Linked DNA regions of Macaca fascicularis. The main gene of each other region encodes a partner of the protein of the gene in region 5 in a complex. Links are inferred from orthologs where the notes say so. Each region holds a gene or a part of one and is shown on either strand. Other genes may lie near its edges.

Region 1 (2,410 bases), on a different chromosome or scaffold from region 5:
CGGGCGTGGTGGCGGGTGCCTGTAATCCCAGCTACTCGGGAGGCTGAGGCAGAATTGCATGAGCCAGGGAACTGGAGGTTGTGGTAAGCCGAGATTGCACCATGTACTCCAGCCTGAGCAACAAGAGTGAAACTCTGTCTCAAACAAAACAAAACAAAAACACATTAGCCAGGCATAATCGTACATGCCTGGCTGAGCCATGAGTTCAAGGCTCGCCAGGGCAATACAGTGAGACCTCACCTCTACAAAAAATTAAAAACTTAGCTGGGCGTGGTGGTGTGCACTACTTGAAAGGCTAAGCGGGGAGGATGGCTTAAGCCCGGGAGGTGGAGGGTGCAGGGAGCTGAGACAGTGGACACTGCAGTCCAGCCTGGGCAACAGAGCAAGACCCTGTCTCAAAAACTAAAAAATAAAAATAAAACCATGAAAGTTGGGACCAAAACATAAGGAACAAGACATTTATCCCTAGCAGAATAGCAGATCTAAAAAGGAAACAAATCTCAGCAATTTATTTTTTTATTTACTGAGACAGAGTCTCACTCTGTTATCCAGGTTGGAGTGCAGTGGCGTGGTCTCGGCTCACAGCAACCTCCACCTCCCAGGTTCAAGTGATTCTCGTGCTTCAGCCTACAGAGTAGCTGGGATCACAGGTGCCTGCCACTATGTCTGGCTACTTTTTCGTGTGTGTGTGTGCCAGGATCTCATTCTGTCACCCGGGCTGGAGTGCAGCGGCACCATCAAAGTTCACTGCAGCCTTGAACCGGGCTAAGAATCCCAGGTAGCGGGGACTGCAGGCGCGTATCATCACACCCAGCCCAAACTGAAGACTTCCTGGGCTGTGCGGTGGACAAGTCATGGCTATAGAGAGAACTAGGGGAGTGGAAGGGAGAACTGTGGAAGTGGGGAGCACGGGCCCTTGGTCAGTGTGAGGGAGGCTGAGCCAGGAGAAGGAGGACAGTAAGAAGGTCTAACAGGCATCTGAAGATTCCAGGAGGAGCCAGAGGAGGAGATGGCTTAACCTTTCCAGAATTGCTAACTATGGGGCCCTGGGAGTCAGGGAGCAGGATAGTGAAGGGGCAGTGAGAGCCTGAGTTCTGGGGGCAGGGCTGTGTGCCGGACAGCGCCTCACTCTAGGATGGCGAAGGGGCAGTGAGAGGCTGAGTTCGGGGGCAGGGCCGTGTGCCGGACGGCGCCTCACTCCTTGAGGGAGAAGTGCATTTTGTCGTTGACCATCTTGCGCTCGGGGTTGAGGCGCTTGAGGATCTGGGCCAGCACGTTCACCGTCTGCTCGCTGCTCAGCCCTGTCTTCTTGGTCTGGAACTTTTTCAGCAGGTCCTTAGTGGTCATGGGCTTCCGTGTCAGGTAGCGGCGCACGGCATCCTCAGTCACCTGCACGTCGCTGAGGATGGGAGGGCGGGGAAGGTGGCATCAGTGAGCTTGTCCCCGGTAGCGCTTGCCCTGCCCCCTGCCGTCCTCATCAGCTTACCCGCTACTGGGTGTTGACTTGCCCGATGGCGGCTGGGGGGTCGACTTCCCGGACAGGCTCTGGGGCCCCGCGTCCAGCCGCAACCGCTTGGCTGCAGGCATCTCGCTCACCCGCTTCCCTGTGGGAGTGGGGTCAGGGCTGAGTCTTGGGGGCAGGAGGCCGAATCCCTGAGCAGGACCCCAGGCTGGGCAGTGCCAGGATGAGGGTTCAGGGGGATTGGGGACAGACAGGCCTCCACCCCCATCTCCATCTCCTCTCTGTCTTAAGCCCCAACAGAGGTCGGGAGGCCGTGGCTGTGGGAGTGGGGAGGCCACAGGCGCTCACCTTGCTCGAGCTTGCTGGCAGCCGCCCGCAGGGTGGAGGAGGTGCTGCCGCCCTCTGCGCTGGGCGTGCCTGGGCGGCTGTTGCCCCTCGAGCTCCCTCCCGACGGCTTCCGCTCTCTCTTGGGTGGCGTCTTCTTCTTCTGCGGAGGTCAGGGTGGGGTGAGGGGTGTGAGTCTGGAAACAGACGCCCAGGCCTCCCCTGTCACCGGGCTGGGCCTTACCGCCATGAAGAGGGCCGAGGAGGCCTCGCTGTCAATGTCGCTCTCCTCTGAGCTGTCCGACTCCTCGCTGCTGTCTGCGGGGCACAGGAAAGGGGTCAGGGCCAGAGCAACCCTGGGACCCGGCATCCACCGGTACCTCCACTGCAGATGAGGGAGGCCTGCAGGGGAGAGGGGAGGAGGCAGCAGAGCACCAGGCCCTGACCCGAGCCTCCAACATGGGCCACACCGGCCGCACCTTTCCTGCGCTTCTTCTCCTGCGGGGTGGGCGCCTTCTTCTCCTCCTCCTCCTCCTTGTCCTCCTCGGGTGGCTTCTCCTCCTCACTCTCCTCGCTACTGTCACTCTGCTCATCAACACCTGGGGGGACAGGGTATGAGCAAGA
Region 2 (2,120 bases), on a different chromosome or scaffold from region 5:
ATATTTTTAGTAGAGATGGGGTTTCACTGTGTTAGCCAGGATGGTCTCGATTTCCTGACTTCGTGATCTGCCCGCCTCAGCCTCCCAAAGTGCTGGGATTACAGGCTTGATACACCGCGCCCAGCCGACCAGTAACCATTTTTAAATGGGATTTTTTATATTGTTAATTACTGTTAAGAATAACTTTGCTGCTATTGCTCCACAGGGCTGACCAATTTGAATATGTAATGTATGGAAAAGTGTACAGGATTGAGGGAGACGAAACTTCTACTGAAGCAGCAACACGCCTGTAAGTTACATAATCTTATGAGGTTCTTTTCCCTCTCTGTGTTCTGAGACTTTGAGCTATGCTCCTGCTTCCTCTGTTGGGTCCCTCTCCTCAGGCACCTCAGACCTAGGTAGGAACTAGAAAGAAATGGTTCTGAGAGCAGTTTCCAGTCTGAAAGGTAGACTGCTCTTTGTCAGGCCCTCCTGGCCCAGCAGTCCAGATGAGAAACTGGTTATCTTACTGTGTAAAGTGCAAAGGAGACTTGCTTCTCCAGAAACAAATGCAGCATTAAGTGATTATCCTATTAGGCTGTGTGTGTGTGTGTGTGTGTGTGTGTGTGTGTGTGTGTGTGTGTGTGTGTGTTTTGCTACTCTGTAACCCAATCCCTAGTTCCTTGGTTTTCCTGTCCAGCTATTTTTTCTTTTCTTTAAAATCTTATTAAAACAATATGTGCTTTTTGTAAGCAATTTGAAATGCAGAAGAGTAATGTGAAGAAGGAAAAAAAAAAGTCACCTGTAATTCCATACCCAGAGATAACCTTTTACATAGACTTTTTTGCATATCCTGGTGTTCTGTTTTTTCCTTTGAGACTGTGGTGTTTATTATGTTTTCTTCTGCTCTTTTTGCTTAACATTATGTAAAATATGTTTCCCCATGTTAGTGTGAAGCTTTTCTTAAATGTTTTAATAGTTGCATAACATTTCAGTAAGTGGATACATCTTGATTCATTTGACCATTCCCCTGATTTGGGGCATATAGGTGTTTTCCACCTTCGCTAATATAAAGAACAGTGCCTTGCACATATCTTGATCTTTGTCAGAATTTTGGTTCCTAGTGACAAAACAGTAGAAAGATGCCTCTTCTTTTTCTTAGGCTGAGATGGAGAGCTGCTGAGTAGCAGTGCTCCAGACTCATGGGATGGGGCCTTCTGTTTCAGCTCTGCCTATGTGTCCTATGGGGGCCTGCTCATGAGGCTGCAGGGGGATGCCAACAACCTGCATGGATTCGAGGTGGATTCCAGAGTTTATCTCCTGATGAAGAAGCTAGCCTTCTGAACCTCGCCAGAAGCCAGCCTTGCTGCCTAGTCACTCAGGTCATCGGCATTGTTCAAGCCTGAGTGGCAGCCAGTCTTGCTCACCTGTTGAGGAGGGGCTGGCTCACTGTCCACTGTGGTGGCATCTTTAACTGGCCTGCACTCAAAGGGAAACTGACTCGCCTGTGAAAGACAGTGGGAAAGCTGCAAATGAATCAGAAGCTTTGTGTATATGATTTTTAAATTAAACTTTACTTTTTCAGACTGCCCCTCCCCTTTTTGTAAAAAGTTCATTTACTGTAAAATCATTTTTTTGCAATTTGTCTGTGGTGTACTGTTTCTGGCCCACAGCCAGCTGATCACTTGTCAATGTAGGATCTATTCCAGCCTTTTGGTATCTGGGTTCAGGGTTATCTCAGTCTCCTGGCTGACTGTTCTCAACATTTATCCTCCAATGCGGTTTTCCGTTTGGGAGAGAGTGTTGTACTTTTGGCTCCTGAGGGTACCCCAGGCCCAGAAGATACCACCCATTTGGCGCGGAATTTTGAATTGGCAAGGAGCCCTGCTCGGGTCCTTCCAGCACTTTCAGGCTCTTAGGAAGTCAGTTCACGCTGACTTGATTGAGTCGCTTGCATAGTCTAGAAATGTTCATTATTTTTATGGAAGATGTGCACAGAGGCTTTTAGCCTTTTAGGCATGGGAGATGACTATGAAGAGAGTAGGAGGAGAGGACTTGGTGGTTCTGGAAGCAGCTGGAGGAGCTGGCTCTCTACATTCCAGTGGGAGGGAGGGTAAGTGGAAGTGGACAGGGCAGCAATA
Region 3 (4,170 bases), on a different chromosome or scaffold from region 5:
TCCCACCTCAGCCTCCCAAAGGTGGGGTTACAGGGTCCAGCCACTGAAACTTTCATTTTCGACACACTCCAGGTCTCTTCCCATCTTTCCTGTTAATTTTGCTAGCTAATCGCAGAGTTCTGACAGCTTTTCCTGGCCCTGTGCTGAACACACATAAAATTTCCTCAATTTTGTGCAAGGCTCTGATGTGTGATTCAATACATTACTTGCCCTTCTTAACAATACCTTACTGTTTGTTTCTCTTCAGCGAATGTTCTTTCACCCAAAGCCTGCTGAAACCTGACAATGTGTCAAACACTGTGCTATACATTGTGGATATAACATGAATAAAGCACTATTTTTTATTTGTAAATTATACCTCAATAAAGCTCTTTCTGCCTAGGAGGAGTTCGTTGTCTGGAAAGCAAAGGCAGATATGTAAACATATGTATTATAGTGCAGAGTGCTAAGTATCACACTGTGATGTGAAGAAAAACTAATTTCTTCTGGGGAAGTTGATAAAAGATCTCATAAGAAGTGACATTTCCATTGGTCTTGAACCATAAGTAGGAGTTTGCCAACCAGAGGAAAGAGTGGGAGTGAGGGCAGGGGTAAAAGAGGGCTTCCAAGGAAGGGAATCCAGTGTGCAGAGGCTCTGAAATGACCGAGGAAGATTCTGACGTGTTCCGGGAAGTCTGCTGGGTTTGGTGTGGTTCGGTGCATGGTGGAGTAATGGTGGGAGGGGAAAACGGATGAAATTAAGAGGGCCCAGTTGAAGCAGGAGGATTGAATTTTATTCTAGAGGCAAGAAGAGAAAGAGAAAACTTTAAGCAGGGGAGGAAACGATCAGTTTTGTCTCTTACTTGTTCGTTTCGTCACAGACCTTCGGGTTTTGGAATATGAGGTGCTCTGCTTGCTTAATCAGAGGAGCTCGGGCAGCCTCTGAGCTGAAACACGGCTTTCTTTTCAGGTCTAGAAACGGCATGTTTTCAATATACCCAGGGCTACCAAGTCTGATCCCAGTGCCCACTTGTGCTAATGACGTTGGCCAGGGGGGATGCCAATTTACTAACCTAAGCCTGTCCTTCAAATATTCTTTCTCTCTCTTTGGCTAGGGTTGGACACGTTCTGACAACTTTTGTCTCTTTGAACCCCGTTTTTCCGTTCTGATAATCTTTTTCTTCAGTTATGCTGGCCATGTCTTTAAATACGTTGCTAACGTTTTGGCTCATCTTACCCTATGTTTTAATCCCTCAGATACACACTACGCTGACAGCCACGCCCACCCAAGGAATTTCCGAAACAGAAAGTTTGTCTGCAACAGCGCGCCGTACGGACGTACAGTGCGCAGGCGCAGTCTGGCTACCGGCGGCGTGTTCCTCTTTCCCCCCGGTTTCCAGTGTCCTGGCAGGTAAGGAACGCCGCCTCTTCACCTCTCAGCGCGGCTTGCCCTTTGTTCCGGACGCCCACTTCTCAGCCCTCCGGCTCCTGGTGTCGCTGCTGTAGGCCACACGCGTCCACCGGCAACAGACCCATGGCCGAGCGCGGGGAACTCGACCTGACCGGCGCCAAACAGAACACAGGAGTGTGGCTAGTCAAGGTAATGTTCACGAGTCTCCCACTTGCGCTCCTCCTAACACAAGTATAATTTAAGTAACTTGAGCCCATCCCGCTCCGTGCACCTCTTAAAGTTCTTTTACGGCTATCTCGTTAGAGCTTCACATATTTTGAGAGGCATGAGTCATTGTTGTATCTGTTTGCAGATGAGGAGATTAGTTTAGGGACGCAAAGTGTCTTTCAGCCGGTTACTGGTCTGAATCAGCCTGGACTAGATCTCTTTCTCACGGCTTTCCTGGAGCCCTGTCTTGGTGTTCCTAGACTTGGGCGGTGCATTTTATCCCAGACCGAAGAATTACTTGTATCTTTCCCTTGGTGAAACTGGTTTTAGCCATGAGCCTGTGTGAGGTAGTTGAATGTCTGCTTTCTGTACAGTTTTTTCGGCGAGAAACTAGAACTGGTCCCTGCGTACTCTTAAAGTATTCTCTTAGGTAAATGGTCCTTAATGAAGCTCTCAAAAGAGGCGAGAGAGCCCTGAACAAACAGAAGGAGAGGTCAGGAGAGGTCATTGGACTGGAGTATTCTTTCAGAGCACATTTGGGTCTGATGAAACTGGCCGTCAATAAATGTTTTATGTAAAGACAGCAATTTTGGTTGGCTCACAGCGGGCACTATTTGTGCTTTACTGTTTCATATTGGGGAGTGTTTTCTCCTAGGGGAGTTTCATAATACTTAAGCAAATTCAAAATGTGATCCTGAAAGTCGTTGAGACTTAAAATGTAAGGACTTTCGGTTTCTTAATGCTTTAACTGATTTATCATATGGCTGAGTTCTCGTCAATTAAATCTAAGAGGTCTTTCTTGTCGGCCTTCTTAAAAATGGCTCCCTTATGATCATTTGCTAACACGACAGATCCGTATTACATTCTTTCTTTTCTTTTTTTCTTTTTTTTTTTTTTGAATCAGAGTCTTGCTCTGTCGCCCAATCTGGAGTGCAGTAGTGCGATCTTGGCTCACTGCAAGCTCCGCCTCCCAGGTTCACGCCATTCTCCTCTCTCAGCCTCCCGAATAACTGGGACTACAGGCACTCGCCCCCACGCCCGGCTAATTTTTTGTATTTTTAGTAGAAACAGGGTTTCACCGTGTTAGCCAGGATGGTCTCGATCTCCTGACCTCGTGATCCGCACGCCTTGGCCTCCCAAAGTGCTGGGATTACAGGCGTGAGCCACCGCGCCTGGCCGTTACATTCTTCAAAGCACTTTTCACAGTGTAGAGTGATTTTGTGTTAATATGTTCAAAGTTGGTTACCTCCGTCTTTCCAACACACAAAATCACATTCCATGAGATTGGATCTTTGCCTGTCATACCCAGAATAGTGTTTGGCACATGGTAATTACTCAACAAAAAGGTGATGAATAAATGCATGACCTCTCATTCTTTAACCCTCGCCTTAATCTGTGGCACTGATTTGACTTATTTCCAAGCTCAGTGTGACTTAAAAGGATGAATTAAATAGGCATTTCTCTCTCCAGCAGCGTGTTAACTGGAGGAGAGTCACTAAGGAGGAGATGGCCCTTGCAGACTGAAGGAAAAAGCTTGAAAAAATGGTGTGACTTGAGATGGTGCCATTGTTCTAGGAGCATGGTAAATGCTCAGTGTTTACGCCTTACAGGATTTGGGTGGGTGGACATAGCGTATACCATGGGGAATGGAACAGAAATGCAAGACTCAGAATACATAATCAGCATGGTGTGTCGTGGAAAACAGAGAGAACCTAGAGCAGAAGATCTGTGTAGATAAAGGTTGGGACCATATACTCAGATTGTCATATCATGAAACGGAGATGTTCTAACTTTAGTTTACAAGGAAGTAACAAACTTTTTGGAGGATTTGAGTGAGGGAGAGATGCCAAATATTTATTCAGAAAAAAAAAAGTTTGGCAGTGTGCAGTACGAATTAGAGGGGAGGGTAAGTAACCAGAGTCACATTTAGAAAATCATCACAGGATTGGGCCGGGCACGGTGGCTCACACCTGTAATCCCAACACTTTGAGAGGCCGAGACAGGTGGATCATGAGGTCAATAGTTTGAGACTAGCCTGGCCAGTATGGTGAAATCCCATCTCTACTAAAAATACCAAAATTAGCCGGTTGTGGTGGCATGCGCCTGTATTCCCAGCTACTCAGGAGACTAAGGCAGAAGAATTGCTTGAAACTGGGAGGCGGAGGTTGCAGTGAGCTGAGATTGCTCCGTTGCACTCCAGCCTGGGCAACAGAACAAAAACTCCATCTCAGAAAAAAAAAAAAAAAGAAGTAGTAACTTGTTGCTTAGAAAGTGTGTCTTCATTCTCATCTCATCAGAATTTTATTTGAACTACGTATTGATTTCAAGTTTTTTCTCCTTACATTAATATTTTCTGTTAAAAATAATACCTTGAGTTCTGATCTTTGTTGCTGAAAAATGTTTCTTCCTAGGATATATCAAGGTCATCTTGTACATATTTAATTCCATCACCAGTTACAGAACTGTGTAAATGCAGTAAGGACTGTACATACAAGATCTCTTAGAGTTTTGAGCAGGAAAAAAATTAATGCTTCACCAGAACTGGAAAGACATCATAGAGAAGGTGATGTTTA
Region 4 (4,041 bases), on a different chromosome or scaffold from region 5:
TTCCTAAAGGTTTTGTCTCAGGTGGTTCGGGGTGGCCAGATTTGGCATCACACAAATTTTTAAAGCTCTTTAGGTGGCTCTACTATACAGCGAAAGTACCTACTATATATCCTGCCAATGCTCATCCTGCATGGAGAGGTCCCTGTGCCACTAATCGCTCAGCCTGTTTCCTTTGCCTAAAACACCCTAGGGAGCTGTGAAGACTAAAGTCAGGGAGTGATGTGAAGACTTTACAATCCAACAGTTTTGGGGTTTAAATCCCAGTTCCAGTATTTCTTAGCCCCCCTGACCCCAGAAAATTCTCAGACTCAGTTTCCTTATATATAAAAAGTGATTAGGCCAGGTGCAGTGGCTAATACCTGTAATTGTAACACCTTGGGAGGCCGAGATGGGGGGACTGCTAGAGTCCAGAAGTTGAAGACCAGCCTAGGAAACACAGTAAGACCCCACCTCTATAAAAATTTTAAAACTTAGCCAGGTATGGTGCTGTGCACCTGTAGTACCAGCTGAGGTGGATCAACTGAGCCAGGAGGTCAAGGCTGCAATGAGCCATGATTGAGCCACTGCACTCTAGCCTAGGTGACAGGACATGACCCTCAAAAAAAAAAAAAAAAAAGTGATTAACGGTCCCCTGCTCACACAGTTAATGTATGAACTCAGTGAGATAATTAATGCAAAGTGTTCTGCTTTCAGGGCTGGCATGAGAGTTCAATTAAGTACTGGCATTCATAATAAATCCCCTATTTAGAAAAACGACTCTTATACCAATATGAAGAATGGACTCAAATGGGTGAAGGTGGAGGCAATGTGGAAGTACTGGGTGTATAAAATCAAACTACGGAAGAAGGCAAAAAATTGCAAGAAGAGAACAGAATGAATGAAAGTTATTACAGAAAAAAAAATAACAAGGACCCAACAAAATATATTGGATACAGAATATGAGAGTAGGAAAAATCTTAAATAGCTCTGTTTTGAGCCAGTGTAGCTAGGAAAAGTACTGCCATGAGAAATAGGTGACACTTGAAGAGGAGCAGATATGGAAGAAATGAGGAAATCATTTTTAGAAGTGTCTCTGAGGAAATACCATAGGATATTCCTCTGAATATGCCCAGCAGGTAGCTGAACAAATGAAACTAGAGCTTAGGAATGAAATGAAGCTGTGCCACCTTGTTCAAAATCTGTGCATTCTAAAATCCTCCTTCCTGACCACTAACTTCTCTCCTCCACCACTACCCACTCACACTGAATCTCCTTACTCAATCTCTAGAGGTCTTAGGTAAGAATTCTCAAACTGGCAGCCCCCCAACGCATTGTTTCACCCAAAGAAATGTTTCAAAAATTTTCTGAATTAGTTGTCAACATTTAAAAATTGTAAGAGTTCACATAAATTTCAACTTCCAGCTCCTCCTGAAAAATTGGAAATATCTGAGGAAAAAGTGAGCCCATGGTCCCACATGGAAACAATAAGCTGAAGACGAATAGCAGCTGGCATTATTAGGGAAGGAGTATGGCTGGTCTCTGGAGACTTCTGAGTGTGGTACCTCCTAGGACCTTTTGTTTCTTCCTTTGATCTTCATAGTCCATGAGTCATATCCCAGCCTCACCTCCCTACCCCAGTCCAGACACGTGTATTTTAATCATATAAACATTTAAGGACTATTGTGCACCAGGCACGGAGCTAGAGAAACAAAGTTGAAAAGAATGCACCCTCTGCCCTCTGTCTACTCTGTCAGCCTCATATCCAGCCACACTAGCATATTCTCAATTCCATAAGCCACATGTGCTTTCCGTGCTTACCAGAGCTTTGCACATGCTGTTCCTTCTGCCCCTACAACTAAGCCAACCCCCTTCTCCTAATCATCCTTCAAGTCTCAAATGACGTTTCCTCATAGAGGCCTTCCCAGACTCCCCATTAGGTAGCGTACAATCATCCCCTCTCACATGTTCCATGGCTCTTTCTCCCTTCTTGTACTTTCTCCATGTCTATCTCTAAGACCAGACTTCATTTTGTTCACCAATTAATTTCCAGTATCTAGCACAGCCAGACAAGTACTTCCATAAAACTTTCCATATGTGTCCTAGACACGTGTTGTTCCAACACGGCTCATTTTGCCAGCTTCCCCCCGCTTCACTTCCTCCACTCTTGCTTCCACGGTAGAATTGGACAGGCTATTGGGCACTCTCTTCTTAAATTTAAAACAGTTTTAAGCTGGAGGTGAGTGGATCAAATTCACGATGTTAAAAGTGTGCGCTGACTGCAGAATGGAGAAAAAAGCTGGATGCGAAGAGTCCAGTTAGATTACTTCAGTACACCACTACGCCAGTTCTAGAACAACCTGGGATTCTACACATCTAACTGCGGTGTTCTGGTACCACATTTCATGGCACTTTCCACGCCTTCACTGAACACATAGCGGCAAACTACTGCGAAACCTCCGGACCCAGCTGCCCTCCACGAGACGCGTTCGGTGATATGCACTCCTCCCCACTGCGAGACCCCGAGACCCCAAACTCCCTCGGACTCTCCCAGTTGGGTCTAGGGCCACACTCGGCGCACCCAAGCCCGCCCTACCCGAGGTCCCACACGGGCCGTTCCGGGGTCAATGGTTCTTTGGAGAACCAAGAGGACCAAGGCAAGAGGGTAATTCAATAGGGGAGGACAGTTAAGAGGGAGCGAAAGGAAGAAGAAATCATGAAATGCAATGCCCGGCCAGGGAACTCCGAACAAGGAACAGGGAACAAGGTTTACCAAAGCGAATCCTGGAACACTCCCACTACAGCTGCCCTCAGCTCTTCAACTACCGGCTTAAATGAGCCACGCCTCTTACGCGACAAAGAAAACGCACTATTCCTGAGACCAGCTGGGGAAACACCCCGCTACCAGACCAGCCAATCAGCTCAGTGAAGCCTTCGATTCAGACAGTCACGCTCCGAGCGGCCAATGAAATTGAAAGCTCTGCCCTCCATGCCCAACTCTGATTGGCTTACAATCCCGGAACAGGCGTTAACCCAAGGAAGGCAGTGGCAAGATGGCGTCCCTGGATCGGGTGAAGGTACTGGTGTTGGGAGACTCAGGTGAGCGTCTTACCCCACCTCTGGGGCTCCAGACACTTTTGAGTTACCCAGTAACCCTCCCCTTACCTTCCTTCCCTCAACTCCCTGGCTCTTCGGCCCGTGGCTGAAGTCCCTCCGAAGTCCTGAAGACTACACTTCCCAGGGGACTTTGCTCCGTGTGACGACGCGGCGGCGGCGGCGTCGCGCGGGTGGGGGTCGCGGAGCCCGGGTCTTTTTCCTTCGCGGCTTTCCACATCAGTCTCCCAGAAGACTGCAGCCTAGAGTGTATTGTCAGTTATTTTATTTGGAAAAAAAAAAAAAAAAGGCAGGCATTGAGTATTGTATGGAGTTCTGTGTTAAGGGTACAGAAGTTAGTAGGACCGTGCCTTCAAGAGATTTTGTTCATTAAGGAAGTCAAACGTGCACTGACAAACGTGAACTGGCAAGCGCTTCTCATACATTAACTCATTTAATTCTGAGATTAGTCCTATGATCACATTTTACGGATGAGAGTAGTGAGGCAGAGAGATGTGAGTGGCAGAATCCTTTTGAACGCAGAGTCCACAAACTTAAACGCTAAGTTATAAATACGCAGTGACATATTGGGTGGTGGTCCTGTTTTATTCTTAACTGAGCTTCTTGACTTCCTGGTTCTCGTTTGATCTTCATTGAAAACCTATTATGTCCTAGACTGTACGATAGAGAAATTAAAGTAAGAGTTTTATTCTGAAGCAGCTAGGATTTAACGCTGAGCCGAATTTAATCCTAGTGTTAAAATTCTTTTTTTTTTTTTTTTATCTCAATGGATGCAAAGAAAAATTATTTTGACCCCTGGGACATTTGAGAACTACAGCTGACTTCTGGATTTCCAGCTCCCACCTCACTGCCCTTATCTTTTCTTCCATAATCCCCAGTTCATCTCTCCTTAGTAACTTCAATAAATGCTGAACTTGCATTTTATAGATGTGCTCTTCTGGAGTTGGCCTA
Region 5 (3,500 bases):
ACTAAGCCATTATCAGATTATGGCACTGTTGTAGTTTAAAATGTAATGAAAAGCCTACCACATATAGTAACAGGAAAGCCCCTACCAAAATGGGAGAAAACAGCCATGCAGGAAACACACCTAGCACTCAACTGTTAGTCTAGGATTCAGTAGTCCCACTGAATTCAACACACTATACAGCACACAAAGTATCAACTTTGGTGACATGTCTTTATTGACAACATTTGTGCAGGTTAAGCTGAGACACTTTTAAGTTAAAAATCTTAGGAGGGCCCTGCTTCTGATAATGACCAAGTAGCTCCTAAAGGACCCAACCTCCCACAGAAAACACTATCAACTCTGGACAAGACATTTTAAAAATCAACTACCTAGGCCGGGCGTGGTAGCTCACACCTGTAATCCCAGAACTTTGGGAAGCTCAGGCGGGCAGATCACCTGAGGTTGGGAGTTGGAGACCAGCCTGACAACAAAATTAGCTGGGTGTGGTGATGCATGCCTGTAATCCCAGCTATTCAGGAGGCTGAGGCAGGAGAATCACTAGAACCCAGGAGACGGAGGCTGTGGTGAGCTGAGATCGTGCCATTGCACTCCAGCCTGGGCAACAAGAGTGAAATTCTGATTTAAAAAAAAAAAAAAAATCCAACTACCTAAAGGAACTGAAAAGCAACCAAAAGAAAACAGGCAAAAAGGGGGGGAGGGGGGGTCTATACTCAGAAAGAAAGAGCACCGAGGGCAGGCCACAGTCAGTGCCCTGTGAAGCTAAAACTCAGTGTTTTAGCTAATCCTCAGTGTTTCTGCATTGAAGAACCAGGAAACAGAGCGTGGGGCAACCACAGCAACTGGAAAGTGAAAAAGGAAACCTTGGAAAAAGTCAGCCTAGCTACCCTGGGCTATGCATGAATGGAAAAAGATTCCGAGCAAAAGGGCTAAGGCTAAAAGAACAGAAGAGACATATCATATGCTACCTGCTGTAGGGTAGACAAGGTTTGGAGTAACTGCCCACTTAACCACAAAACAAAACAAATAAAAACACTCTTTGGAGGAATGTAACAGAATCCTGAGTCTTTACACGTATTAATATAATTCACAAGGTCTAAGACCCACAGAAATGTATTAGATATATGAAGAAACAGGAAAATATGACCCATAAAAGAGACAGTCACTGCAGACCAGCTCTAAGATGACTCAGCTGTTAGAATAAGAATTTTAAAACAGCTATAAGAAATCATACTCAAGGGTGTAACAAAAGATACCTGTCACGAATGGAAAAAAAAAAAAAAGAAAACGAAATTCAGCAAAGAAACAGAAACCAGAAGAACAATTTAAAAAGAAAGGCTAGAACTGAAAAATACAACTAAAAAAATTCACCAACTGGGCTTAACAAGTTGGAAGTGAAGAAGAAAAGTGAGTGAACTTGACAATGGATTAACAGAACAGGAAAAAAAAAAAACTGAAATAAATAAAGAGAGCCTCAAGGACTTGTGGTACAAAACCAGAAGATGTGACATGTATAATTCCATTACCAAGAAGCAGAGGAGAGAAAAGGCCAAGTTTTCTTCTAATAGCAAATGAATGAACCTGCTTGATAAGTTAACATTAATCCTTAGCAATTGTGACAAATGAAAACAAGCAGCTTTCCCCAGTGAGTTTCAAATTTAAATTGGAAATGTAATCTGTACCAGTAGGACTTTCATAGGTAGCCCCTTTAGGACTTCAAAATAGCCAGGTTATTAATCAATACTTTTGTGTTTTAATGCCTCTAGTTCCTCAGGTAAGGAACATCTACTACTATTATAGAAGACACTCTTATTTACAAACACAGCTTACAAGAGAAACTCTACTGCCTTTGAGGAAAATTTTCCAGAAATATCCTGAACAATCAAACAATCATATAGCAACAGCAACAGGAACCCGTCAAAGTTACACAGAGATGGCTGCTCCCTTTCCTGCTTGGTGACACAAGACAAATTTCAAACCTTCAAGTGGCTCACTGTAACCCCATGTGTATATAATGGAAGCTTTAAAAACAATTGTAAAATGTTTGATATTTCTAGAACCAAGAAGTCATTATTCATTCAAATTACATTAAGACACAGAAAGAAGAGAGAGATTACCTTGACAGCTTTCTGGGAATTGGGCAGTGCTTCTTCGATGTCTTCTAAAAGAATCCCTCCTAATCCTCGCTGGTCATGCTGATCTAAGAGCCTAAGTAGGGCCTTCTTATCTCTCACGTTGTACTTGGGCTTGAAAGCATACTTCCCATCTATTACTTCAATTTTGGGATTGTTGACTAAAGCCTGTAACAGTGATACAATTGGAGTATATTAACAAATGGAAACATAAATACGTTCTTTTTTTTTTTTAAACGAGTCTTGCTCTGTTGCCCAGGCTGGAATGCAGTGGCGTGATCTCAGCTCAGTGCAACCTCCACCTTCTGGGTTCAAGCGATTCTCCTGCCTTAGCCTCCCTCTCCTGCCTCCCTCCCTCTCAGCACCTGGGACTACAGGCGCGTACCACCACACCCAGCTAATTTTTGTATTTTTAGTAGAGACAGGGTTTCAACATGTTGGCCAGGCTGGTCTTGAACTTCTGACCTCAGGTGATCCACCTGCCTCGGCCTCCCAAAGTTCTGGGATTATAGGCATGAGCCACTGCGCCCAGCCCATATATACATTCTTAATTCTACTAATTATTTTAAAATACAACACCAGCCAATACAGTGGCAAATTAAAAGTACCTTATGAACACAAACTGGCAGGCCTAACATCCTGGACATCCAGGATTCCAGAAGAGTAGATCAGCATGGTGTTCACTTTTTATAAAAGAAACTGTGTTTTATTTACATAAATTCTTTGAGGAGAAATAAACTATTTTATCACAACTACTTTGAAAAAAGCTGAATCCATATTCTTCTAGAAGTCAAAATGGGTAGAAATCAATAAAACACCTAGTGAACTGAGTAGTGCCCACTCCGCCTGCAAAGTATAGCTTATCACATATTGGCATTACAAAGTGAGAGACATTACCCGTACTAGTCAATGGTCTTCCCCATCTGCTATCAACTGGCACTGGCAGCTGTGTAACGAACTGAAAAGGACCAGACTAGTGCATACAAGAACTTTACCTATGTCAGCTTGAGAATGAAACTGAGTAGGAATGCAGGAATTACTGAATATAATTATGTTTCTAGTCAGTTCTGTTGTACAGCTAGTATCAGAAGGAAAGCTCTTCAAAAAGAGCAACCCTATATATTTTCTTCTGCAGCTGCCAGCCTGACCCTGAAAGGAGAGAGAGAAGAAACACAGGAAGAAGAAAAAAGGGAGAATAGAATAGTAAAATGATCAAAGTCATGTTAACTATATGTTGGTAGTCTATGAACTCTCAAGGTTAGCTAAACCAGCAAATTTAAATGTGGATTACCATTGTTTGTACATCACTAATACAATGAGCTACAATTATGCTAATTAATGGTCATGCTACATTATAAAAGTCAAGACCTA
Region 6 (3,500 bases), on a different chromosome or scaffold from region 5:
ATTTATAAGGAAGTGTTGAACTACTCTGACTGTATTTTAATGTTTTATCCAAAAAAAAAAAAAAAAAAAAAAAGAAAACAACTTCAAGCATATAGGTAAAGATTTTCTAAGGATCTGAAGAGGTTCTTTCAAGTTCACAGTTAAACTATACTATATTTGTTGAGAAATATTATATGTCTGAAATGTAATTTGAAAATGAGTGAGGACTTGTAAAGTTTAGTGGATAGTCCTCAGAAATATAAAACTTCTAATGTAACTCAACTGGTTAAAATGTATTCTTTGGTAATTTACACACTATAATGACTTATTAGACTATACTATGGTTAAGTCAAAGCAATATTTTTAAATGCTTGATTTTAAAAATAGTTATACTGAACTATCCAAACAGTTCATCTTCATTTTTTAAAAGTTAACAATTCTTAGCCTTCCCAACTTCTTGCAATTACCAGGTCTCCTGAAACAGAACCATACTTGGCATTATAAGTTTGGCATTATAAACTTTTTCGGACATAGTAGGGAATGGAGTAACTCTCACAAAGCACCATTCTTTTAGTATTCTTAAACAATTCCATAATTTTATGAACCTTAATGTCTAGGTACCAAGCTAAACTTCAGATCCAATATTCAGGAAACTAAACTAAAATAGCTGTTCTGCCTGAGTCTTCAATAAACTTCAAGTTGTTAATATATGACATATATAGGCATAATCACAATTTGAGTTAGAATTAAGTACAGCCAATCAAACTGCTACATTCTGAGTCTTACCATGTTTGATGCATTCATATGCTGTATCAACTTAGAATCTGGAACAATAACTTGTGGTGCTGTGGCTACAAAAAAACAAGTACACATGTAAACAAGGAACCATGAGGCTATTTTCTGATCACAAGAACATTTTACATACAATGATGAAAACTTTTTTCATGTTTTCCATGTTTTCTGCACTCAAATGCTTTCAATCATTTGCTCTCAGGACAGTATAAATTTATACGGCAAATAACAGCTGTGATATACCCACCCTATACTAGAAAACACAAATATTTAAGCTTTGGGAGGCCAAAGCGGGCGGATCACTTGAGGTCAGGAGTTCGAGACCAGACTGGCCAATATCATGGTGAAACTCCGTCTCTACTAAAAATACAAAAAAATTAGCTGGGTGTCAGGCTGAGGCATGAGAATCACTTGAACTCGGGAACTGGAGGTTGCAGTGAGCCGAGATCATGCCACTGCACTCCAGCATGGGTGACAAGCTCCATCTCAAAAAAAAAAAAAATTTTTTAAGTGACAATTCCTAAGGATGCAAGGGCATTTAGGAACATGAAGTAGTGAGTTACTTAACACCTAAACATACACACATACACAGTTCTATGCATTCCTAAGTAAACTGGATATTTTCAAACATAATTTTGTCTTAACTCAACTCATAATTTTGTTTTACTGATACAATGATACCACTGTTGCAATGAGTTACTAATCCAATAAAAGTAAGCTCAAAAAATTGTGACTAGTTTTTGAAACCTACATAGTCCTTTTCTTCCAACATGAAAGTTGACAGACTCATGCTACTTTCATCGGCTGTTTAAAAAATACAAATCAGCCGGATGCAGGGATGCATGCCTGTAGTCCCAGCAACTCAGAAGGCTGAGGTGGGAGGATCGCTTGAGCCCAGGAGTTTTGGGCTATAGTGCGCTATGCTGATTGGGTGTCCAACTAAGTTCGGCATCAATATGGTGGCCTCCTGAAAGCAGAGGACCACCAGGTTGCCTGAAGAGTGGTGAACGGGCCCAAGTTGGAAAAAATACAAATCAGAAATAATGGCAATGTTACTTAAGCATAAAAGGAATTAAATGTTTGATTCCGCAAATTTCAGAGAACAGACGGATAACTCCATTATCCTAATATTCTCTGAGTGAAGAAAATCAAATTTTAATTTATGATGACCTAAAATCCTAATGCCAGGTCTGAAGGCAACAGGAAGAACAGTCATCAAAAAATAATAAAGGGATAAAATTATTTGATACAAAGTATACACTAAAATTAGGTATGAAAACTACCACTAGACGTCAACAGTAAAATAACCCAAATAGACTCTTCTACTGTGTATCATTACCAATTTTGAGACACATATATATACTGTCAAATGAGGCAAATAAGTAACTAAATGATTACATTAAAATGAACTTTTCATCTACTTCTAGTGTCCTCTCCCATAAAAGCAGATGCACTGAATTAGAATGCTCAGAAAGTTTTATAACTGAATAGACGTGTGTCATGAGAGAAAATACAGATCAAGTTTCTTAGCGTTTTCTGGGCTCAGATTTTCCTCAGCTGTGAAACTGAGCCAAGGGCTATTTTACAAAGCCCTTATAAGGTGCCAATGAAACAGTATCTATAAAATGACTTGCAGAGTACAAAGCACTATGGACACAGTCTACGAATATTTGCTTTTTCTTAGCTTTAATCCAAGAAATATAAATTAAGATATGTTATATATCCACGCTTAACTTATAATAAATCTAATTCAGTCCGTTTAGGCTTACATAAATTACTATGGAACTGAATTTTCAGATTGCCAAAGTATACAAAAAACTCTAGAATTTAAGATATATTTTAAAAACTAATCTGAAACATGTCTCTGAAAGAACATGTTTCATAGAGAAAGCAAATAACTATTTTACCATATAAAATAATAAAGTCCTTAGTAAATAAACCTTTTAGGTTTAACTTATTTCAGGAAATCCATCACTACATAGCCTTTTCAAAACTAAATAGTAATACAACTTAGGCTTTCAATTAGTAAATTACTTGTCTACCATTACTCTACAGATACAACCTACGTTTTATACAAATTTATATACATTTACATACACCCACACCCCTCAGCCAAGAGAAAGTGGAAAAAAAGCCCAAAATCAACATAGGGGTTTTTGTTTGTTTATTTTTAGGTTCTCCATGCGCCCCTTAAAAGACAAGATCCAAGAAATGTAGAATATTTCTCTTCTTTCATGACGACAAACTTAATTCCAAGTCATAAGTAGGAAAACAAATCCAGTCTCACCTTGCTGTGATGCAGGAATAAGGACCTGCTGGGTCTGCGCTTGCTGAGGTACTGTCTGCTGAGGCTGAGCTTGCTGATGGTGGTGATGGTGGTGATGCTGCTGCTGCTGGGGTTGATGCTGCTGTTGAACTTGCAGTAGAAGCTGCTGCTCTTCTGAATGAAATCCATCTACTGCCCTGGACTGCATTAGTTTGTTTTCCCATAACTAAGGCAAAGAACATTAAAGATTTCTAAGTGAAAAATAACTCTGGACAGACGAACACAACAGTTTTATTAATCTCTTTATAAAGTTATTCCATTTTAAAAACTGATACAGACACAGAAATACAACAAATCTATAATTCTAACCCAAGTGTAAACAATAACAAAAACAAAATTTTAAAGTATCAAACCTCATTTTTGCCACATCAGAGTACTGGAGATTTTGTTTCTTTTTCTATCT
Region 7 (3,939 bases), on a different chromosome or scaffold from region 5:
TGGTGGATCCCAACAAAGAGGAAGTTTTCACCAACCTTTCAGTTTTGACATAAAAATGTAAATTTATAAACATAAAACTTTTTTTTATAGCCTTCAATTTTAGTATGTGATAAGCCCTTGGGAGTTAAGAATTTAACTATATCCAAGTGCCCTGATTTTTCAATTCACTGAAGGTCAGAATAAATGGCCATCATCATAATTTGGTTTACTTCTTTAGCAAATCTCTGCAGACTTAAAAATCAGTTAAACATAACTGATAGAAATGGAGCTTAAATATGGCAGTAAGTGAAGCCAACTTAAGATATATGTGGAACAGCACTATATAAGTTATTACACATTAGCTTATATTAATACAATGATGGGACTGGAATTTGGAGAGATTCAAATTGGAGAGATTCCTGGGACAGTGGAAGCAGCTGTGAGATAGGAATTCAGCAGAACTAGTTTCTAAGACAGGAGAGACAGTAAACAACAGGTCAGAAGACCCGACTGATAAGCGAGGATACAGTAAAGAAACCAGCCAGAACCAAGATGGTGACAAAAGCAGCCTTCACCACTATCATACACTAATCATAATGCATGAGCTTATGTTGTTGGCAGTGTCCAAGGGTTTGGTCCTTCTCCTCCTCAGCTTTGCCATCACAGTAAACAGTATCATTATCCATGCACTGGCTCATATTAGAGGCACAGAAAGGTAGACAGTAGTATTTTCAGACAATGGGAGTGTCCACAGAGCAGGGTTCCTAGACATTGGATTGCTTTGAGGACCTCAACCCTGCCCATTTATGGTTTTTAGTTTCTCCTCTGGAATGTATCTAAAGGAATTTAAGAAACCTTCTCCACTTGGCTCTCTTGTTTTTCTCTTTAAAGTCTACAGTTTGTAATGGTAAAGACTTAAGCAAGTTCCTGAACTCTTTCAGGACCTAAAATTCTAGTCATGTTTGAGGAGAATGCAAGCACTGTTCCTCTAAAGATGACTCATCTAACAAATATGCTGCCTCTGATCATGCCAGTTCCATCAATTCAACAGAGGGACTGAAATCTGGCACTAGGAACTTTGCAACAAAATCTGTGCCACTTGTTAAAAGTGAAAGACTTGATTTCATTCATATCTTAAAAACAACAGGGTTTTAGAAAGGACACACACGTAAGTCAAGATTCAATATTTAAACTTAAAACTCATGAAGTATCAAAACTACTAACCATTCTATAAGCACTCCTTTCAAGACGTTGACCATGTTTTCTTAGTCAGAAGGTTCAGATGACCTCAAGAATGCTAATAAAAAGAAGAAGGTAACACTGAATTAAAAATCATTAACTTTCATATACTTTGGGGACTGCCTCTGAAATGAGGCAAAATAATTAAGTGTCAATATTTAACAGTTAAGTCTATGAAAGACAGTTAACATTAAGAGACATTCTGATTTTTTAACAAAATTAAAATGAGTCTACTTGGAATATTGCCACATCTTACTTGCCAACCAACTCTACCCAAGGTCAATTAGCCCTAATAGAAGCAAGCAGCCTAACTCTACACCAGTGTGCCCAACCCAGGTGTAAACTGTCCGTTATTCAAAGGATTTCTTTTCCCATTCAGGAGAATGACAAAGGGTAAGATCCTGGGAGACAGGACTCAAAGATAGTTCTGAAAGGTGCTTCAAAAATTACACAGTGAGCCCAACCACCTCCTTTTAGTTTATATTTTATTTTATTGAGACAGGGCTGGCTCTGTCGCCCAGGCTGGAGTGCAGTGGTGCGATCTCAGCTCACTGCAACCTCTTGCCTCCCAGGTTCAAGCCATTCTCCCACCTCAGCCTCTCGAGTAGCTGGGACTACAGGCAAGAGCTACCAAGCCCAGCTAATTTATTGTATTGTATTGTGTATATATATATATACACACACACACATATACTTTGCGACAGAGTCTCGCTCTGTCGCCCAGGCTGGAGTGCAGTGGCGTGATGGCGGCTGACTGCAACCTCTGCCTCCGGAGATCAAGATATTCTCCTGCCTCAGCCTCCGAGCAGCTGGGACTACAGGCGCCCGCCACCACGCCAGGCTAATTTTTGCATTTTTAGTAGAGACGGGGTTTCACCATGTTGGCCAGGCTGGTCTTGAACTCCTGATCTCAAATGATCCACCTACCTCGGCCTCCCAAAGTGCTGGGACTACAGGCGTGAGCCACCGTGCCCGGCCAATTTATTGTATTTTTAGTGGAGACGGGGTTTCACCATGTTGGCCAGGCTGGTCTCGAACTCCTGGCCTCAAGTGATCCACCCGCCTCGGCCTCCCAATGAGCTGGGATTGCAGGCGTGAGTCACCGGGCCCGGCCCCAACCACCTCATTTTACAGATGAGGAGACCAAAGGAAGAGATTAAGCCGTAGTTCCCGGGGAAAGGGGAAAAAAGTACAAGCCAGGTTTCCAGATCTTGTGCCCCTTCACTAAATAAATCACGTCCTGTGCGGACCTAGGCTGGAAAGAAATCACTCAGCGTCCGCCCACTTAACTAACTTCCACTTACACCTGGGCGCAGGGCGAGCCCTAGCCCCACAGGAAACCCACGATTAAACGAGTGCGGAACTGCAGTGCGGCCCCGCCAGGAAGGGCCTGGAGAGAGTGGGGGACACCGCCCTGTGCCCCCAGCACCCGGTGGACAGGCTTCTTGGGCTTTCCTCTTCTTCCCCTCTTTCTTTGGGACCCCTCAGTCTGCCCACACCCCACTTTCCCCAGCCACTCGGACGCTTGCCACACACCTCAGCCCACAGATGCAGAAGCGCCTCGGCGTCGCCGACACAGTGCGCCTGCGCCTATACGTCATCGCGCTAGGGACGCTGTTGTGAGTGGAGCGAACCGGCAGTAGGCGGGCCCGGAGAGGGCCGAGGGGGCGGGGTCATAAGCCGCCCGCCGCCGGGTGGAAGGCCCCGGCCGGGAGCCGAGGAAAGGGGAGGGCTCCCCAGACAACTGGGTCCGGCGAGCAGTTGGGGACAGGTTGAGTCTGCGTGCCGGCAGGTAGGACGTGAAGGCCGGGCTAGTGTGGGGGCGGACGGGGGCGTCGGAGCAGCTGGGCGCGGTGGGGAGTGGAGAATGGGGAGGGCAGTGGCCGGGCACGGCCGGGCGCCACCGTAAGGCGCGCGGACCGGACCGACCCGCTGACGCTCCCCTGGGTGTGAGGGCCTCTCTCTGGTGGTCGCGAGCCTGACTCGTCTTTCCCGGTCGCTGCCTTTCTCTGGCTGCTGTCGAGGCCTCGGGGAGTGCACCTACCGGTCCTTCTTCCCGGGCTCGGTAGTCACGGAGAGATAATGAGGAGGAGGAGGAAAGGGCCTCACCGGTCACTTCTGAGCCTTCCAGACCACCGCTTCCGGCTCCCCCTCTAACCCCAGAGATGGAAACGATTGAATACTGAGAGATCTCTAAATTCGGCAACGGTCATTTAAAAGTGAAAGACCCCAGAAGCTTCTGAAGTGATTCCCTTTCCCCAAATCTGTTCTGTAATCTAAAGGAGCACTCTCATTATTTTTACTAGTTGAGATATGAGATTCTTGTTTTCTGTTCCTTAGGTTAAATTGTACTTCCCGAATTAAGCTCTACCTTCTTTTTTTTTTTTTTTTTTTTTTTTTTTGAGATGGAGTCTCGGTCTGTCGGTCAGGCCGGAGTGCAGTGGCGCGATCTGCGCTCACTGCAACCTCCGTCCCCTAGGTTCAAACAGTTCTCCTGCTTCAGTCTCCCTAGTAACTGGGATTACGGGCGTGCGCTACCACGCCCGGCTGATTTTCGTATTTTTAGTAGAGACGGGGTTTGTCCATGTTGGCCAGGCTGGTCCGGAATTCCTGATATCAGGTGATCCGCCCCCGTCAGCCTCCCAGAGTGCTGGGATTACAGGTGTGAGCCACCGCGCCCGACCTCATACTGCGTTTTTTTTTTTTTTTTTTTTACATCGT

Evidence for each region.
Region 1: GTF2E2 (region 5) and GTF2F1 share a complex: the UniProt entries of both Homo sapiens proteins name them as parts of the TBP-based Pol II pre-initiation complex. The link is inferred for Macaca fascicularis from reciprocal best matches to the Homo sapiens genes GTF2E2 and GTF2F1.
Region 2: GTF2E2 (region 5) and POLR2H share a complex: the UniProt entries of both Homo sapiens proteins name them as parts of the TBP-based Pol II pre-initiation complex. The link is inferred for Macaca fascicularis from reciprocal best matches to the Homo sapiens genes GTF2E2 and POLR2H.
Region 3: GTF2E2 (region 5) and GTF2F2 share a complex: the UniProt entries of both Homo sapiens proteins name them as parts of the TBP-based Pol II pre-initiation complex. The link is inferred for Macaca fascicularis from reciprocal best matches to the Homo sapiens genes GTF2E2 and GTF2F2.
Region 4: the proteins of GTF2E2 (region 5) and GTF2E1 are in contact, whole or in part, in a crystal structure (PDB 5GPY), measured with the Homo sapiens proteins. The link is inferred for Macaca fascicularis from reciprocal best matches to the Homo sapiens genes GTF2E2 and GTF2E1. Residues at the interface, in NP_002086.1 of Homo sapiens: Asp159, Gln160, Arg161, Gly162, Leu163, Gly164, Gly165, Leu167, Leu190, Val192, Asn193, Arg194, Pro195, Ile200, Phe202, Cys208, Gln209, Phe210, Ser211, Val212, Asp213, Glu215, Phe216, Gln217, Leu219, Trp220, Arg221, Val223, Thr224, Val225; in NP_005504.2 of Homo sapiens: Arg16, Lys19, Tyr20, Val21, Arg23, Gly24, Phe25, Tyr26, Ile28, Glu29, Leu32, Arg39, Leu51, Leu52, Lys53, Phe54, Asp55, Gln58, Gly68, Asp69, Lys70, Phe71, Lys73, Thr98, Asn101, Val102, Val103, Lys104, Tyr105, Lys106.
Region 6: GTF2E2 (region 5) and GTF2A1 share a complex: the UniProt entries of both Homo sapiens proteins name them as parts of the TBP-based Pol II pre-initiation complex. The link is inferred for Macaca fascicularis from reciprocal best matches to the Homo sapiens genes GTF2E2 and GTF2A1.
Region 7: GTF2E2 (region 5) and GTF2H5 share a complex: the UniProt entries of both Homo sapiens proteins name them as parts of the TBP-based Pol II pre-initiation complex. The link is inferred for Macaca fascicularis from reciprocal best matches to the Homo sapiens genes GTF2E2 and GTF2H5.

The regions. Positions count from the first base shown.
Region 1 is NC_088393.1:7,158,781-7,161,190, forward strand, and holds the end of GTF2F1 (general transcription factor IIF subunit 1), read right to left. Parts: intron 2,386-2,410; coding exon 2,266-2,385; intron 2,105-2,265; coding exon 2,031-2,104; intron 1,950-2,030; coding exon 1,811-1,949; intron 1,605-1,810; coding exon 1,487-1,604; intron 1,400-1,486; coding exon 1,195-1,399; 3' UTR 501-1,194; downstream 1-500. UniProt on the Homo sapiens protein: TFIIF is a general transcription initiation factor that binds to RNA polymerase II and helps to recruit it to the initiation complex in collaboration with TFIIB. It promotes transcription elongation.
Region 2 is NC_088376.1:96,289,922-96,292,041, forward strand, and holds the end of POLR2H (DNA-directed RNA polymerases I, II, and III subunit RPABC3), read left to right. Parts: intron 1-205; coding exon 206-289; intron 290-1,205; coding exon 1,206-1,323; 3' UTR 1,324-1,620; downstream 1,621-2,120. UniProt on the Homo sapiens protein: DNA-dependent RNA polymerase catalyzes the transcription of DNA into RNA using the four ribonucleoside triphosphates as substrates.
Region 3 is NC_088391.1:24,364,745-24,368,914, forward strand, and holds the start of GTF2F2 (general transcription factor IIF subunit 2), read left to right. Parts: upstream 1-1,370; 5' UTR 1,371-1,513; coding exon 1,514-1,579; intron 1,580-4,170. UniProt on the Homo sapiens protein: TFIIF is a general transcription initiation factor that binds to RNA polymerase II and helps to recruit it to the initiation complex in collaboration with TFIIB.
Region 4 is NC_088376.1:162,458,672-162,462,712, forward strand, and holds the start of GTF2E1 (general transcription factor IIE subunit 1), read right to left. Parts: upstream 2,801-4,041; 5' UTR 2,750-2,800; intron 1-2,749. Other genes in the region: RABL3 (rab-like protein 3), read left to right, coding at 3,030-3,075.
Region 5 is NC_088382.1:33,815,381-33,818,880, forward strand, and holds part of GTF2E2 (transcription initiation factor IIE subunit beta), read right to left. Parts: intron 2,298-3,500; coding exon 2,115-2,297; intron 1-2,114. UniProt on the Homo sapiens protein: Recruits TFIIH to the initiation complex and stimulates the RNA polymerase II C-terminal domain kinase and DNA-dependent ATPase activities of TFIIH. Both TFIIH and TFIIE are required for promoter clearance by RNA polymerase.
Region 6 is NC_088381.1:149,170,862-149,174,361, forward strand, and holds part of GTF2A1 (transcription initiation factor IIA subunit 1), read right to left. Parts: intron 3,264-3,500; coding exon 3,059-3,263; intron 1,990-3,058; exon of another isoform or gene 1,846-1,989; intron 831-1,845; coding exon 766-830; intron 1-765. UniProt on the Homo sapiens protein: TFIIA is a component of the transcription machinery of RNA polymerase II and plays an important role in transcriptional activation. TFIIA in a complex with TBP mediates transcriptional activity.
Region 7 is NC_088378.1:66,517,957-66,521,895, reverse strand, and holds the start of GTF2H5 (general transcription factor IIH subunit 5), read right to left. Parts: upstream 2,801-3,939; 5' UTR 2,755-2,800; intron 1,277-2,754; 5' UTR 1,239-1,276; coding exon 1,204-1,238; intron 1-1,203. UniProt on the Homo sapiens protein: Component of the general transcription and DNA repair factor IIH (TFIIH) core complex, which is involved in general and transcription-coupled nucleotide excision repair (NER) of damaged DNA and, when complexed to CAK, in RNA transcription by RNA polymerase II.